Arabidopsis thaliana: one gene and its partner. The protein of the gene in region 2 interacts with the protein of the main gene of each other region in a pairwise test. Each region holds a gene or a part of one and is shown on either strand. Other genes may lie near its edges.

Evidence for each region.
Region 1: the proteins of FT (region 2) and BZIP27 interact in a two-hybrid assay, tested with the Arabidopsis thaliana proteins (one study listed by BioGRID).

The regions. Positions count from the first base shown.
Region 1 is NC_003071.7:7,719,324-7,727,564, forward strand, and holds BZIP27 (basic region/leucine zipper motif 27), read left to right. Parts: upstream 1-3,501; 5' UTR 3,502-3,662; coding exon 3,663-4,250; 3' UTR 4,251-4,324; coding exon of another isoform or gene 4,325-4,402; intron 4,403-4,556; coding exon of another isoform or gene 4,557-4,628; 3' UTR 4,629-4,968; downstream 4,969-8,241. Other genes in the region: MCA2 (PLAC8 family protein), read right to left, coding at 5,832-5,890, 5,954-6,050, 6,122-6,228, 6,321-6,392, 6,514-6,623, 6,749-7,143, 7,219-7,629. UniProt on the Arabidopsis thaliana protein: Transcription factor required for the transition to flowering promoted by FT.
Region 2 is NC_003070.9:24,326,960-24,336,413, forward strand, and holds FT (PEBP (phosphatidylethanolamine-binding protein) family protein), read left to right. Parts: upstream 1-4,413; 5' UTR 4,414-4,418; coding exon 4,419-4,751; intron 4,752-5,566; coding exon 5,567-5,628; intron 5,629-6,341; coding exon 6,342-6,382; intron 6,383-6,506; coding exon 6,507-6,730; 3' UTR 6,731-7,040; downstream 7,041-9,454. UniProt on the Arabidopsis thaliana protein: Component of the mobile flower-promoting signal (floral stimulus or florigen). Promotes the transition from vegetative growth to flowering. Required for 'SEPALLATA3' (SEP3) and 'FRUITFULL' (FUL) accumulation in mature rosette leaves.

The DNA of each region.
Region 1 (8,241 bases), on a different chromosome or scaffold from region 2:
AGTAAATTTTTATAACACTATAGGCTTTCATGTTTTCTTTTCTCCTTTCTCGTATATCTTTATGTTTATATATAAAATAGTACATAAAATTTTAGTATTTTCGAATGTATTTTCATAAATCGTAAATGTAAAAGCCAAATGCAAATAGAAGTGTGTTTTTTCTTCTTCTTTCACATTTACATTTATAATCGATAATATTGGTTGACGGCATATTATATAAACTTTTTAACCAAAAAGAACTTATAAAATACATTTGAAACATTATATAGAACTAATATAACTCAATTTAGAATACCTTTATAAACATACCACATATCACCTTAAATTCAATATTTTTACTAGTTGTAATTAAAATAGTGATAACATGTCTTTTTCCTGAAACAGTAATATACATGTTTTTAAAGCCATATAAGCAGGTTGAGCAGAATGAATTAACATCATCACCTATGAAAAGAATAGAAAGAGAAAATAACTTACCAATGAAGACGTGCTAGATAATTGTGAAGAATTGTAGGGCGGTTTTGTATAGATATTAGGGTTGCAACCACACCATACAGAACAATCATCATTTGAAATCTAGAGCTTTGGATAGAGACATGCGGTTTAATTGCGAATAAAATGCAATGTGATTTTAATAATAACGAATATATATATAATTATTTTCGTCACTATTAGAACCACACTGTACTTTGCGATTCTGTCTTCTTTTGAAGCCTACGAGTCACGTCTACTGAATCATTTTAAGACTATTTTTTGTTTTATTTTCCTAATTCTTTGTCATATCTAAAGTTGAATCAATTATGGAATTAGCACTTTAAAGTGTATGTTTTTGTGATTTTAGGAACATTTCAATGTACTCCCAAAAACAGGTAATTATAGGTGATAGTGTTTTATAATTTTCACCCCTTTCAGCTTACACTCACTCTTTTATTTTTTTTCTCGCCGTCGCGACTACCACCTCCGCCGCTGCCATTGACGGAGCCAACTGCCTCCCTCTCATTATAGCCAAATCCCAGAAATTTTGATTATTTTGCTGGCTCTTCAATGACATGAAACCTACTGTTGAACTCACCATTGATGCTCAATTACTTCTCCATCACCTCAACCAAAATTTCGATTCAGATCTAGCGTGGTTGATCTTCTTCTTTGACGAAGCAAGCGATTATCATCCATACCTTTTCTGAATTTTAATTTCTCGATATCAATCAGAATTCTATCATCTCTCGTTTTATTTTAAAAGAGGAAGAAGGAAAACCATTGGAATCTTAATAGATTTGACTATTGTTTAAGATTGGATCCTTTGGGTTCACTATATAGTATCCATTTAGGATTTAACTTTCTTCCATTAAAAAGAAGTTACTTGATTTTATTGGGTTGATTAGAACAAGGTTGTTGGTATAGAAATGTTTGTGAAGCCATCGAAAAAGAAGAAGAAGATGACATTAATTAAACTCTAAAGTAATTTTGTCAATTCAGTTCATAGAAAATGCATAACTCTATAAGCCCATTGTAAAAATGCTCAATTTCAAATTTTTGGGCCAAATATTACTCATTTCTGTAAAAGCTCCATCTAAAATTAGTCTAAACTAGGTCTAATATGTAGTGAAACGAAAGGTCCATAGGATATATTGGACAAAGATTAATACGAAGAGAATTAAAGCTAATGAAGTTTGGGGAAAGAGTAACACAGACCTGACACTTGTTCTATCCATGGGAGCTTGCCACGTCAATCTCATTGTCTTTGGACTCGTAGACAAACATAACTTTTTTTTTTGGTCCGTAGACAAACATAACATGGGTGGGTTATTACTTTTTTTTTTTTTTGGACAAAAAGGTGGGTTATTACTTATTAATTTCGATTAAGAGATTTTCATGGTTTCGTATTCGATTTTATTTTTCTTCTACCGAATCAGAACGGGTACTTCTTTTTGGGTTCAGAAACAAATTCATGTTTGATTTGGCTGGGGTATTATTAGTGGTATCAAAGCTATATAGAAAATGATTTTTTTTTTTCGGGTGGTGATCCATACCCTTACTATCCAACTAATTCTCTCAAAAAGTGTATACTTCGGCTCGCCGAATTTTTTAATGAACCTAAAATATAAAACAACTTCGATTGGTTAAGGGTATTTCCAATAGTGATCTTTATATTTTTCTCTATTTACAGAGGTGACTTTATTTTAGAAACATTGTGCTCTAATGGTTGTTGGGTATGTTTCTCATTGGGTCTTTTATAAAATAACTAAGCTTTAATTCCAACAATAGTTACCTCTAAAATAAAAGAAAAATAGAAATATCTACATTGTATCTCTATAAATAGAAATGTCTACAATTTATCTCTATTTTTCCTTTATTTTTTAAAAAACTCTATTTTAGAAGTGACCATTGGAGCACAATGCCTCTAAATATAATCATTTTTAAAATATAGAAAAATATAGAGGTAACCATTGGAAATGGTCTAAGTGAAAGTGATTTAGAAAGAAAATATTTTTTTTTATGCTAAGATATGGTGAAAATGCGAAATTGTTTAGATAAAAACATCATTTATGAAATGAGGAACATATAACATATCTGTTAGTCACAATTGAATAGTTTTCTCAATGATCTAAAACATAAAATAAATTAATCAGAAAAAGAATATGATGATGAGGAAATGTGATTATTTGTAAAATATATAAAATTTCATGACCCTGTTTTATTTTCTTTTTTTCAATTGTCCTTTGGCATTATAAGCCTCTCCATTCTGGGAACTTTGAAAAATCAATCACATCAGGCTCAGTTATCTTTTACTCAACCAATAAGTTGCTTTCCATTACCACTACCAATATTAATGTATAAAATAGATAAATATATACAGTTATATCTTTCATATTCATAATCACATGTTGTGACATTATTGTAATGACATAATACAAATATACACTTCTTTCTTCTTTTCAAAACCATATTTAACTCGAAATGAGGTCAAACTCAAATTATGATATGATATGGTGCTCATAAGTCATGGATCTAGTTTTTTATATACGTGTTTAAGTGGTTGTAGTGCATTAATCTATTTGATCGGATTTGAAGATAGATTAGAGATATATTATGTAAGCAAAACTATTAGAAAAGTTGAAAATATATAATTACAAAAAGGTAAAAACAAACAGAAAAGTTGGTAAAAATTAAAGCAAAGATCACACACACTTGAAAGCGATTTAAAGGGTCTATTGAATTGTTGTGATATTAAAGTGAGACCAAAACCATAGCTTATTGGTTACCTTTTCAAAACAAAGAATCTCTTTACCCACCAACTCCAGATTTAAGTATCATGCATTCATGCTAATTGGTAAATAATTCCTTCTGTAACATAAAAATGATTATCTTAGGAGAAAAAGTTTGACGTCACATAAGTCATAACTATAGATTTATCACTATCAAATTTTGGATTAAGTGACAAAAAGTCATTACATTAACATATTTTGATTTTGTTTTTTTTCTTTCTAGAACAATTACATCTCTGTTTCTTCTACTACTGGACCCAACCATCATGATACTAGAAATGACCATTGAGAGACAAGAAGTTCACAATCTTTCTCTCTCTGTCTCAAAGCTATAAGACATTTGACATCCCAAAACCAAAAAACAAAGCATTCTATGCTATTCTGTTCTGTTCTCCAATGTTGTCATCAGCAAAGCATAATAAGATCAACAACCATAGTGCCTTTTCAATTTCCTCTTCATCATCATCATTATCAACATCATCCTCCCTAGGCCATAACAAATCTCAAGTCACCATGGAAGAAGTATGGAAAGAAATCAACCTTGGTTCACTTCACTACCATCGGCAACTAAACATTGGTCATGAACCAATGTTAAAGAACCAAAACCCTAATAACTCCATCTTTCAAGATTTCCTCAACATGCCTCTGAATCAACCACCACCACCACCACCACCACCTTCCTCTTCCACCATTGTCACTGCTCTCTATGGCTCTCTGCCTCTTCCGCCTCCTGCCACTGTCCTCAGCTTAAACTCCGGTGTTGGATTCGAGTTTCTTGATACCACAGAAAATCTTCTTGCTTCTAACCCTCGCTCCTTTGAGGAATCTGCAAAGTTTGGTTGTCTTGGTAAGAAAAGAGGCCAAGATTCTGATGATACTAGAGGAGACAGAAGGTATAAGCGTATGATCAAGAACAGAGAATCTGCTGCTCGTTCAAGGGCTAGGAAGCAGGAATGTGTCTCTCCTCACTCTTCTACTTTCTAATTCCTCTAAATCAACAGAATCTCGTATTAAATCAACAATTCCTCTGTACTAAAATTGGTCCATGGATCTTTCAGGCATATACAAACGAACTTGAGCTTGAAATTGCTCACTTGCAGACAGAGAATGCAAGACTCAAGATACAACAAGAGCAGGTAAAACTAACACTGACTTCTTGCTTTAATGCCTTAGTCTAATTTTGTCTTGAGAAACTTGTGCATTACTTCTTGCAGTAACTTTTTCTTGTGAATGTAAGATTCTGCTACTTAAGGCCAATATTTTTATTTTTCTGTTTTTTGGAAAATACAGCTGAAAATAGCCGAAGCAACTCAAAACCAAGTAAAGAAAACACTACAACGGTCTTCCACAGCTCCATTTTGAGAAAAATCTACTATTTCTTTTTGGGGGAGTTTCAAGTGTTTCTTATGAAGATGAGAAAAACAGAAAAAGTTTGTACATTTTAGCTAAGTTAAATTTGTGGTGGTAAGTAATGTAAAAGAAAAGTGTGTGTAGAAGAAAAGTGTCTAGAAAAAGAAAGCAACTAACTTTCTTCTTCTTCTCTGGTTTCCTATCAACTCTTTTGACTTTTGTACTTTTTTTCTTCTCTACTTAACCTCTATTATTGTAATGCCAAGTCAAGTCCTTATCTAGCTAGTACATGAGTTTCTGTTTTCACTGGTTAAGCCATTACTGCACTGTATTGTCAGATGATATAAGTCTTCATAATGATGCTAAGAAGATTTTTTCTTGGTTGACTTCTTTTTGTGTATGCTTTATTAGCAACCAGAAACAACAGAGAAACAGAATAAATACCTAAGAGCAAATTTGGTAGCATCTAATGTTTTAATAAAAGTTGGGCCATGAATATGCTCACATTATAAAGTTGGCTTTATTAGTAACCAGAAACAACAGAGAAACAAAATAAACACCTAAGAGCAAATTTGGTAACATCTAATGTATAAATAAAAGTTGGGCAATGAATTTGCTGACTTCCTTCTTGTAGCAACTTTAAAGATGCTACAAATGCTTGCTTCATTCTGATCCAATAATATTTGTTCTTCTGATGCATCCACCTTCTTCCTCAAACATTTGGAACCAATCTAAAGGAATAATTAACAACAATATGATAGAGATGACATGTTATTCAGTGTAAATTTCTTAACTTTATTTAGCAGGCAGCACATAAAAAATGGGAAAGAATCAGCTAATCTTGATCCTCTATTTGACGAAAATAAAATCTTCAAAATACCAAAAGCTATGAACAAAATATTCAATCTGCAAAACTAACGTGAAAAACTCTTTTTTTTTTTCTTTGGTCACAACATGAAACCTTATTTTTCTGCACTGAAAATTTCATATTATAACTTACAAATTCAACCACAAATGTTTGTTTTTCTTCTTCAAAAGGTCTATTGTTAACAATGATTTGTCACCTATTTGCATCTAGTATAGAATAAGGAAGGTTTTAGAATCTCTATGGAGTATTTTTCCCAAACTAATTTACGTTAAATCTTAATGTCAACAATGAAATAAGAAGATTCATTTCATCATAATAACTGGGTTCTGTTTCGTGCTGGACAAGTCTCATTCTTCCATAAACTGAGGTGTTGGTGGACTCATTTCCTTATTACTCTTCTCTGTACCTGCTTTAAATACTAATTAGATTCAGAAGTATGTTAATATATCTGTAAATGTATATATTTTACCGTAAGAAGCTCGATGAATCTCGACTTCTCTCAGTTCTTGGACAAGGGCACAACAACAACACATTAGATGTGACAAAAAGTCGTCAATGCACCCTCCCTGCAAATTCAAGACATCCGTAAAAACCTTAGCATCACGACCTTAAGAAAGTAGAGGTTTAATTGATGTACCGTTATGTTCAGTGTCTTTCGAAGCTTCTTCCTTATGCAGCAAGTATAGCAACAGCATGAGAGTATCAAAGAATACACGATTAGGTTCTTACACACTTCAGTTGAAGCTGTAAAACCATAAAATCAAAATTTTGTATCAAATTCTTGATAGCTCATACATGGAAAAAAAACTAGTCTGCATTCATATAAGATTTCTTACAGATTTGCCTACTAGTTGCCACAGTGGAAATCTTTGCCAATGTACCACAGGGGAAAAAGAGTGTCTTCAAGCCTTATTTTACAAATTCAAAAGTAGATAAGTATGAATCTTGAAGTGTCACTCGTCAATCTTAACGAGAAAAGAAAGCGTGGAACATTGTTTGGTTAGATAAAAACAGAATGAGAGGGCTTACAAAGACAAGGTTCTGAACAACAATCCAGCAAGTCGGCGTGCCAATTTCCACGGTGTTGCAATGATCTTCCCGAAAGTAGTTCATGTCCGGATGAAACATAAGACGTTGATCTACATTCAACCATTAGACACCAATCAAACATTAGCCTTCAATGATCAAACGTGAACAACACGTTTTGTGAGAACACATTAAGTATATGAATATTTTCATCTATATCGGAGTAAATGGGATTAACCTTGAATCTGCTCGAATACTACTACTATCCGTGTCATACAAATCATCTCTCTTCTTGCTAGAGGTAAGCTCTTCTTTCTTAGTCAACACCTTTTCAAGATTAGGTTCAACAGTAGCAGCAGTTTGTGTAACATCAATCAAACGTTGTATAACTTCACATTGATCAGCATCATACCGCGCCCGCGAACGTTGCAACTCAAGTTGCAGTTTCTCCTCCTCGGTTTTAAGCGCTTCGCAGAACCCCATGTTCGGGTATGAACGAGAGAGCGTCTTCTTTAAAACCGATGTAGCAGCTTCTCTAGTAGATTCTTGTTTCAAAATAACATCTTGCACCTTTCTATCCTCTTCATCAAGAGTATACTCACGCTGATCACGTTCAATAGCTTCTAGCCTCTCCTGCATAACAAATCATTATAACTATGGCAACAACAAAAAGAACAAGAAACCAGTAAACAATGCAAGCGAATTTACCCGAATCCGAGCATTATCCGCCATATTTATTAGTGGAACGATCTTGAGAAACAGATCAATCTCATTCTGAGCTTTTTCAAACTGGTTAACAATGTTCCAGCCCATAGCCAACAAGTAAAGATAACTTTTTTCTTGACAACTTTTGACTAAAATGTAAGATCTTCTAAGAGCATCATCAAGTCCTTGAAGCGGCTCAAGAATCTCTGAACGTTGATTCATCTCAGAGTTTTTAATCTGCTCTAGCAAATTACGGATGAGCTTAAGATGGTGAGCGAATTGACGACAATTCTTCTTGTGCATTCGAGCTGTATTCGCAGCGTTTACTATCATTCCAATCAGTTTCAGAGCGTCTATGCCTGTAAGCTGAGCCACTGACGCAATTTCTCCTAACTGATCCCATGAATTAGCCATTTCTCTTCCTAACCAAAAACAGCTCAAAAACTCAAATTTTGAGACCTAAAACGAAGCAGAACATAAGAAAGTTTGAGACTTTTACCTCGTGTGAACAGATTCTGATTATGAATAACAAAGAGATTTGAAGTTACCAAGGAATCACATTATGGTTCGACTGCGACAATAAAATTCTCTACTACGTTAAAGATCTTCAAAACAGAGAACATTTTAAGAATTTTTTTCTTAAAGTGAAAATTTTATCTGTTTAAGTGTAAACTCATCGGAGAAAAAAATGTTTCTTGGAGAGTGAAATCAAAGTGAACAAACATGGAAAATCATAGAAATTTAGAATATTTTTGTAAGAGAGGAGATAGTGTTGAAATGCTTCACCTCATAGGTTGAAGAAAGTCAAGAATTACAGAGATGGTACTTGTGGAGAAGGTATTAGTCTTGGAACGAGAGGTCAAAGTGATTATCCAAAAAAAGAAGAAGAAAATAAGAAGATAGTGGAGTAGCTAATGTGATCGTGAGAGTACACGAGTCACGAGAGTTTCGGTGATGGTTTGGTCGTATTATCGAATGTAGATTATTCTTTTTTCACTGCCACGTCGGAGTCTGCTTGCACGAGTT
Region 2 (9,454 bases):
AATTTATTCAGTTGCTATGATGATTTTGAGGGTCACTTTTAATAGAAAGGATTGTGGGGGTTCACTATCTTTTAGGTTCTTCTACATTTTAGTGTTCGTAACAAGCACTTATGTGTGTTAAGTCTTATAAAGTTAGTTAGATAATTGTAAGTTGTTAGCTTCACATAATTAATTTTATCGATGTTACTAATACCCCACATTTTTTGCGAATCTAAGTTGCAGAAAATAATTGACGTAGTTTACACATTTAACTTCATAAGTAAATAAAATATGATGGAGAGATGAAATTTAATTCAAATTTGTAGCACAAGATCTTTTGGAGAACTCACAACAAGTTTAGATTTAGTTTTAGGCAACGAGATTTGGGGTTAAGGTATAGGGGTTAAGCATATTAATTTATTTGGAGTTTTAACTCAAAATCAAATAGTAAAGAATGGATTGACCATAATTAAGTATTTTTCCATCTATCTATATGGGGCTCCACATGCCTTAAGAGATCGTGGTTTTTTAGATTTTTTTTTTAAAACTCATCATAATGTACTTCTAAATCTCGACAAAATGAAATCAAGCTTTTGTTGGACATTCAGTTCCGGACAATCGGACTGCATTCAAATAACTTGTTTTCGGACTTGGATATGATGTTAAGTATCATATATTCATATGCGTCCAACTAAATATCAATTGACAAAAATTGGATTGACACATATCTCTTATATACTAGTGTTTCTTTTTAAAACTTTCAATGTGGGATCTTATTAAAAGAAATCCTCTTCTCAAAACTTTATAAACTTTCATTAGACTAATTATAAGCTAAACTATCTAAAATCTCTTACATATTATTTGAGAAGTCGCAATTTTTTTTGTCATCTCACTTTATTGAGTAAAGAATAATATCAAACATAAAACAAGTTAATCTAAGACTTGCAGATAATAAACCAACATGGGAAGATAATTGAAGGATTATCTTCTAGCTTAGAGAACATGTGTCGCAATTAATTTGATGACAAAGGGCACTCATGAGGATATGATTTAGAAATGTCATCGAATACTGACGATCGATTTTTTCGAGTCCGATGAATTACAATTCACAGAGGTAAAGAAATCTGCTTTTGAATCACCGATTCTTCTAACTTCTATTCAGATGATAGGTTAAATGAAGAAGAAGAAAAAAAGAGAAGAAAATCTATCAAGATCCCTTATGCTAGCCCAAAATCACATCAAGTTTTTCACATAATGAGATTTAGCAAAAACTTGTAAACGTAGGTTTGCCGGATCTCTTGTTCCTCATCCACTTGCCAATCTTCGTAATCCAAAAGGTAAATATCTATGTTTAATTATCTTCTAGATTTTAAGGCACAACGGATTGATCGTTCTATATTGTATGCACGATTGAAGAAGTTGTTTAAGAAGCACAAACATTTGACTATCGGCTTTAACACCTTTTTGTCACTTGGAGATAAGATATTTCTTCATGGTGACGCAGAAGCCTCTACTAGCTCCACCGCAAAAGACTATTGAAATTTCTTATCATGGTCATTACACCAATGATACTATCAAAATCTCTAAACTAATCTCTATGTTCAGTTTTTGATGGTTTATTATCAAGTATGTGTCTTTGTAATTATCTTCTCTTCTAAGATTGAATCATCACAATGTTTTTGAATTATTTGATTTTCATTGAATATTTCAACCAACCAAAATGTTTTCGTTCTAGAAATAAAGTCCTAAAGTGACGTACATTCGTTTTCTAATGAAAATGCTATTTCATAAGTTATTCCTTTCATTTTTTTTGGGTCGTCAAAACATAAGTTAATATTCTTTTTTTATTTGACTAAAACTACTTTTCCAAAATTTTCACCGGGGAAACCTTCTCAAAGCTTTATGAGCTTAAACATATGCAAAGTGTCTCATTAACTTAAATAAATATAGAGTACAATTAATTTGTTCACAACGTTTTTAATAGGAAACTTAGAATATGTTCTGTGATGCACTATATGTTGCTTCGTAAGGAAATTGCATGCGAAAATCTAGTGGAAGAAATTTAGTTAAACGGCAAAAATCTTCAATTAATCGTTTCCTTTATCTACATTACCAAAAGGTTGCGAACATTATGCGACATATGGTGGTTAGAACTTAATACACTAATGTTTTTCAAAGATGCTATTTGTGGAGTTGATAAAGACAAAACATATTTGAAGAAAATAATTTTAAACATGTAGTGTTTAGGAACATCACGGCTTCATAGATATAGAGTCAACTTAATATGTTACAATGATATTGAAATATGTTCTCTAAACTCTAAAAGGTTCTACCTGATTTTCTTAAACAATGCATCTTCGAAAGATAAAGAAAATATATTTTTCTATTTTCTCTTTACATGTCAATGCTTACTATATCATCTTACGATATACTATAAACGTTTTATTCATAAGTAAAAGACAAGTGGCAGATACGTTAAATTTTATAATAGAAATAAATTAGTTAAATCTTAAAAAGTTGCTGAAAATAGAAAGCAAACTACTTATCTTAAAGCAAACGTAAGTCTCTTTAAGAAGAAATACAAAATGAATATATATCGGATTAAATCAAAAAACAAAAAGATACACTTTTGTTTTTCTGAACAAATGAAAAATGATATACACAAGTGGCGGACAATCCATCTATCTCATTTTAGCGAACAATTAATCTTGTCTGCGACTGCGACCTATTTTTTTCTACATCACATCTTTTGTTTCGTATGAACACTAACATGATTGAATGACAAAATTTACTAACAATTCTTATAGTACTGAGCTCTCCTGTCCAATATTTAAAAATGCATACATTTTTTTGTGTGTAACTAAAATTAGTAGAAAATAAATGCTAGTCGTTAAAAAGTGCATATAGCAGATTTCGAGTTTTTTTTAATTGCGATTTCGATTATCAATGGTCGATCGTAGACGTCTTTTTTAGTAAACAAATCTGAAATTTCTATGAAGGTTACCAAATATTTTGGATTTCAACCTAAGATGAAGTTAACCTATGGACGTGTAGAACAGTGGCTGAAGTCTGAAATGATAAGATAAAGTTCAATATGAATACATTACTGAGATGTTACAAAAAACTACATCACTGAATAATTCCTTTATTTTCCAGTTTGGACAGTAGAACCTATCGCTAATTATTTAATTACCAATTAAAAGAAAAAGAAAGAATAATTCCTACAGTTGTTAGGCTATGGTTATAAGTTTCATCTTTGAACTTAAGAAATGCTCTAATTAGTGGTAATGGTAGTTACATCTATATATGTTGATGCAATGTCAAAAAGAAAATCTCTCAAATTAGCAAATCCATACCTATTTATAGACGCATAAGTATATATACCAATTATCCTGGTCGTGCAAATGGATGGTTAGTATTTTTACAACCAAACTAATGTCTAATTTTAAAAAGTAATCATTATTTTGCTTTAGATTTTTAATAGTTAATATTATATGTATAGATAGATTACCGTATGATATAATTGTTTCAAGACACTAGATACTATCTCAATTATAAAACTCACTTTTCCATAATATGGCCGCTTGTTTATAAAAAAAGAAGAGAAATAAAACAATTGATTTGGTTTATATTATTTAATTGCAGATATCTTGTACTTAATTCATTTTGAGATAATTTTGCGTATTTGAGTTCGGACATTGGTAGGTATGGACGATGAAAATAACTGCCTTCATTCTACATGTTTGAGATTTGTTTGTCGACCATATAACACAAGCGGCTAGAAAAATAGGTGACTATTCTCAAATGTCCTGGTTCTATCTAACCTGAAGGATCCCTTGTTCTACCTGGTATAACTACAAGAAAAGGCTGTTTTATAAAATATATCATTTCTTCTATGATTTCTATCTCAACTTTTTTTTTAGTTTTTTTCTTTTAGAACGTTTTCGCTTTCGAATTTTTTAAGAATTTTTTTTTTCTTTATATCTCTAAATAATAGTTTTAAAAACATAACAAGTGATACTGTAATTTTTTTTTCTCTATAAACTTGGCGGTACCCTACTTTTTTCTTATTTTTATTAATAATCTTACTTTGTTATGATAAATTATGTTAATATATGGCAAAACTAAATATATATGAAACTACTGATTACTCATTATCATAATTAATATCTTTGTATAAAAGTAAATAATATTTAGTCGAGAGAGGTATCTTGTTAAAGGAAATAAATCAAAAATTAGTGGCTACCAAGTGGGAGATATAATTTGGAATATTTCCAGTGTATTAGTGTGGTGGGTTTGGAATACCACAAACAGAAATAAAAAGAAAGAAAAATATGAAATAAGACGACAATGTGTGATGTACGTAGAATCAGTTTTAGATTCTAGTACATCAATAGACAAGAAAAAGATTGTGGTTATGATTTCACCGACCCGAGTTAATGCAAATCCGAAACAGTATAAATATGTGTAGAGGGTTCATGCCTATGATACAAATTAAAGAAGCAGAAACAAAAACAAGTAAAACAGAAACAATCAACACAGAGAAACCACCTGTTTGTTCAAGATCAAAGATGTCTATAAATATAAGAGACCCTCTTATAGTAAGCAGAGTTGTTGGAGACGTTCTTGATCCGTTTAATAGATCAATCACTCTAAAGGTTACTTATGGCCAAAGAGAGGTGACTAATGGCTTGGATCTAAGGCCTTCTCAGGTTCAAAACAAGCCAAGAGTTGAGATTGGTGGAGAAGACCTCAGGAACTTCTATACTTTGGTTCTTTCACTTGAACTCCCTTTTGTCTCTTTTCTTCTTTAGTTTCTTCAGTGCTTCTTACACCTTCTTTTTTAAAATAGAAATTATTTTCCTTTTTTGGGGTATACTGAAAATATTTCTTGGGCATGCAGAGACCTTGGTTAAAAATGCCCCACGCTTTCCTTTTCTCTGTTTTTTTATGATTTATTTGGTTTTACTTTATGATACCCAAATCAAAAACTAATTTATATTTCATTTCTTTTTTCATGAAGATGGACCCATAAAATATTTCTTCCTATCCTAAATTAAATAGAGATAAATTTATGATCTATCCCAAATTTTTTCCACCAACTTCTTGCATAAGTGATTATTATTTAGGATAAGAATCTTGGGATTTTTCTTTGTTCCTCCTACCTAATAATTTAATTTGCATTTGTTTTTTTTTGTTTTTTTTTAAGTATAATTTTTTACTATACTTTGAAAATGGCATTTTTGAAATATCCTTTTTGCTAATTAAAATATCTGCAAAAAGATATAGAAAATTGATGTTCATTAAAACAAATATATATATTGATGAATCTCTGTTGTGGAATATTTGAAAACTGTTTGAATAAGGATATTCTGATATTCAAGCCAGCCTTTAAGATACTCTCTGCTATATATAGACATGTAGCTACTACCTTTTTTCTATTCATAGTTTTCTTCTTCTTTCTTGTGTTATCTCATTTTCCAAACTTCAAAAAAGAAAAAGAAAAAAAGACCTTTTGCTTTCTTGATTTCTTTGAAAATGATAATCTTATCTTCTTATAATTCTTCGTCTTATTTGTTTAATGAAGGTTATGGTGGATCCAGATGTTCCAAGTCCTAGCAACCCTCACCTCCGAGAATATCTCCATTGGTTTGTGCACTAACTCAACTCTTTAATTAATTCACTTTTAAGTTATAGCATAGCTCAAACATGTTGCTCGAATTATATATATAGACACTCAACTACACATGTAAAACTGGACATGTATTTTGGATACTTTGAAATTGAGTAGATCACTTATAACTTAAGACTCAAACATTTTACATTTAATAGAAGGAGACATATAAAATCAACTTCGAGAGTGCGATGCATCAATTTGTCTCCCAAAAAAGCCCACACCCAAGCTAAATTGACATATTTTGTTCAAAAACTTTACTATGTGTAATGTAAATATGTATTATGTATGTCTGTGTATTTTACTGATCGCACATAGATTCTATAGAATGTATAGGACGTGACTTGAACTAAGATTTGTTTTTTTCACTTTAAAGTGGTCTTTGTACGGGAATATCATTGAGCTTAAAATAGCCTGATGACATCATCATTGTTCCTTGAAGTGAGCAGGACTAGGTTTCCTGTTATATCACTTTTTATTTTTATTTATATATTCATGCACTTGAATGTTATTGCATGTTTTGCTAGTCACTTGCACTAGTAATCTAGGAATTAGTTACGTTGCTATTATTTTTTTGTAAGAAAATAAAGTTTAAGTAGCATTTCAATTCTGTCAAAAAAAGAAGTAGCATTTCAATTATGTTGTGGTGCCATAGCTTAAACATGTGTATGGCTATCTCTCATTACAGGTTGGTGACTGATATCCCTGCTACAACTGGAACAACCTTTGGTGAGTTTTATTCTATATATTAGATCGCTAGGTGTTAGAAATATAGAAAGGTATATGAAATAGCCTAATTAATTAGTTACTAGCTAGAAAATTCACATGTTTTGATGAACTTTTTATTTTTCAGGCAATGAGATTGTGTGTTACGAAAATCCAAGTCCCACTGCAGGAATTCATCGTGTCGTGTTTATATTGTTTCGACAGCTTGGCAGGCAAACAGTGTATGCACCAGGGTGGCGCCAGAACTTCAACACTCGCGAGTTTGCTGAGATCTACAATCTCGGCCTTCCCGTGGCCGCAGTTTTCTACAATTGTCAGAGGGAGAGTGGCTGCGGAGGAAGAAGACTTTAGATGGCTTCTTCCTTTATAACCAATTGATATTGCATACTCTGATGAGATTTATGCATCTATAGTATTTTAATTTAATAACCATTTTATGATACGAGTAACGAACGGTGATGATGCCTATAGTAGTTCAATATATAAGTGTGTAATAAAAATGAGAGGGGGAGGAAAATGAGAGTGTTTTACTTATATAGTGTGTGATGCGATAATTATATTAATCTACATGAAATGAAGTGTTATATTTATACTTTACGTGTATTCATTTCTTTTCGATGCAAAAATCAGGCAGTGGGAAGAATCTGCTGTTTTACTTTTGGGTTCCATAATACACTTTTTTGTGTTGCTACTAAAGTACTGATAATATCCAAGTCGATCATTATATATCAAACTAAAGAGTTTGCATTCAATACATAAGCTAGAAAAGTAGAGCAATATTTTGGTTTTAAGTTTATGGGCTCACGTATGAAGAAACACATGTGTAAGATCGAATCCTAGGATCAAACCTTAATTATTAAATCCTTGAAAGGTAAACATATGAAGTATTTATACATTCTGAAGATTAATTACTAATGGACTTCGACGTTAGATCTTGTTCCCATGATAGAAAAACGTTTTTTTTTTAATTTGGGATAAATACGAGGAACAACTTAAGCATTTATGTTTTATTTAAAAGCGGTTTAGGCGGTTGTATTGGCTCCGTCTAGACGTTATGCTGTCAAGTTATGGTTAGATCACTGATTCAACGCCTAAAATAGTATAAGTTTCGATTTAATGTATTTTCTATTTTAAAATTAAATTTGAGTTTAAAACTAAAAATAAAACACTTTAGACATCCAAAAAAAGGAAGTGTCTTTCTGTAGTTAAACTTTAAATATCCATAAACTCTTTATGAACGTAGATGGTCTTACTGTCTAATGCTTTCTTGAACATTGATAGCCATCGTTCGATGAAAACGCTCTCCTCCAAGCTGATCAACGATGACATTTAAACGATCTCGAACCCCTTTGATTTTCTTTTATTAACATTTTTTATTGATTAGTAAATTGTGACATAATTATATATGATACAAGAAATTATTGATACACGTGAAAATTTATTAACAGTTGGAAGATAACTCTGACTATGAACCATTTCATTTTAAGGTTCTGTGCATTCAACCGATATATTTTTTGCGTACTTCCACATATCCACTCAGAGGAAGGTCTATATTTGATATAGAATGAAAGAGTAACACGTAAAAGGCTAAAAGTCAAATGATATAGTTATATAAAAAAAAATAAAAAAAAATTAAACATCAGCCATACAAGAAGGTTACAAGAATCTTATGCTCGTAAACGACATCCATGATTATCTAAAACAAAAATAGCATGAGATGAATACTTTGCGTCCCAAAAACTGAAAGTGTCTAGTTTTTATAAAGCAAAGTTATTTAGAGATAAAAAGCAATAGAAGTTTTTTCAACAAATCAAAAAGCAAAAAGGAGAGGTAGCATGATATTTAGGAAAAGATAGATAAGAGAATATTGTCATAAAGAAGAATTTATTGTTGTTCATTGGTGCACGTGTACATACACCTCTTGGGACTTGATCATTCGCATGTGACAGTACTATGAATATAACATGTCAGTAACCAAAAAAAACAATTGGTCCATTATTTTCAGGTTTTACTCCATCATACGGACAGTCTTGTCAAACCAAGTGTAATGATGTCCACGACGATATTTGTTATTTTCAGATTTGAATAGTGGAGCATGTAACGCCTCGACTACTTTTGTAGTAGGTCCATGATATTTTTCTAGTTGACTATTTGTCTATCGATGATTTTATGTTTGACTGCTAGTTTAATATGCTCGAAAATTCGTTAGATATTTTCTCTGACCAAAAACATCATCACAATTTTTTTTTTGTTTATTTTCTTGGTTGTAGTTGTAATGTGCACATAGTTCACTTCCATGTATTTATTCGTTCAAAACATCTTAAAGTAAAACAGTTTAGTGTTTCACAAAAAAATGTAAAACAGTTTAGTTTGACTATATTTCATTCATTTAAATATATATTTTGTTCACGTTATTAGATTTCCCACCGGTTCTGGTATTTTTTGTCAATATATGCTCACTTTTTTAGTGTGGAAATAGGGTAACAACTAACAAGGAGGTGAAAGCAAACGAGAAACTGATTACCTAGTTACCTTGGGAGAACATGTGGCTGTTTTTCATATATGTGGACTATACAAGAGGAATAATTTGTTCTAAGGACTATGTTGGTATTGGGGAATTTGAATAGGGAACTTATTTTAATGGGCGCCTCGCAACAATGAAAAAAAATTCTATCTCCTCTTCATGGAGAGCATATGAAACTTTGATCCTATGATGGAGGACCGGTTGATACAATAGGAAGTGTTTTTTTTTCCAGACAAATTGTTTTGAGTTACTGAAAGTGGTAACAAATTCTGAGTGATCTGATTTCTCAACTTTATTTTTTGAGGTTTCAAGCCTGAAAGCTCACTTCTTTCTAATTCTTATATTTTATGTAGCATGTAGTCCTAAATTTCGTTCTTTAGATTAATTCTATTTATATAAACTTGATATGTCTTTTTGCGTAATATCATATTCCGATGATAATTTTGTTTGTTTTACCATTTTTCAAGCTACTTTTTATATATAGATGTTGTACTTTCGTGATATATTTAGTCAACATATTCTGATAAAGTCATATAAACTACTATTCGTGC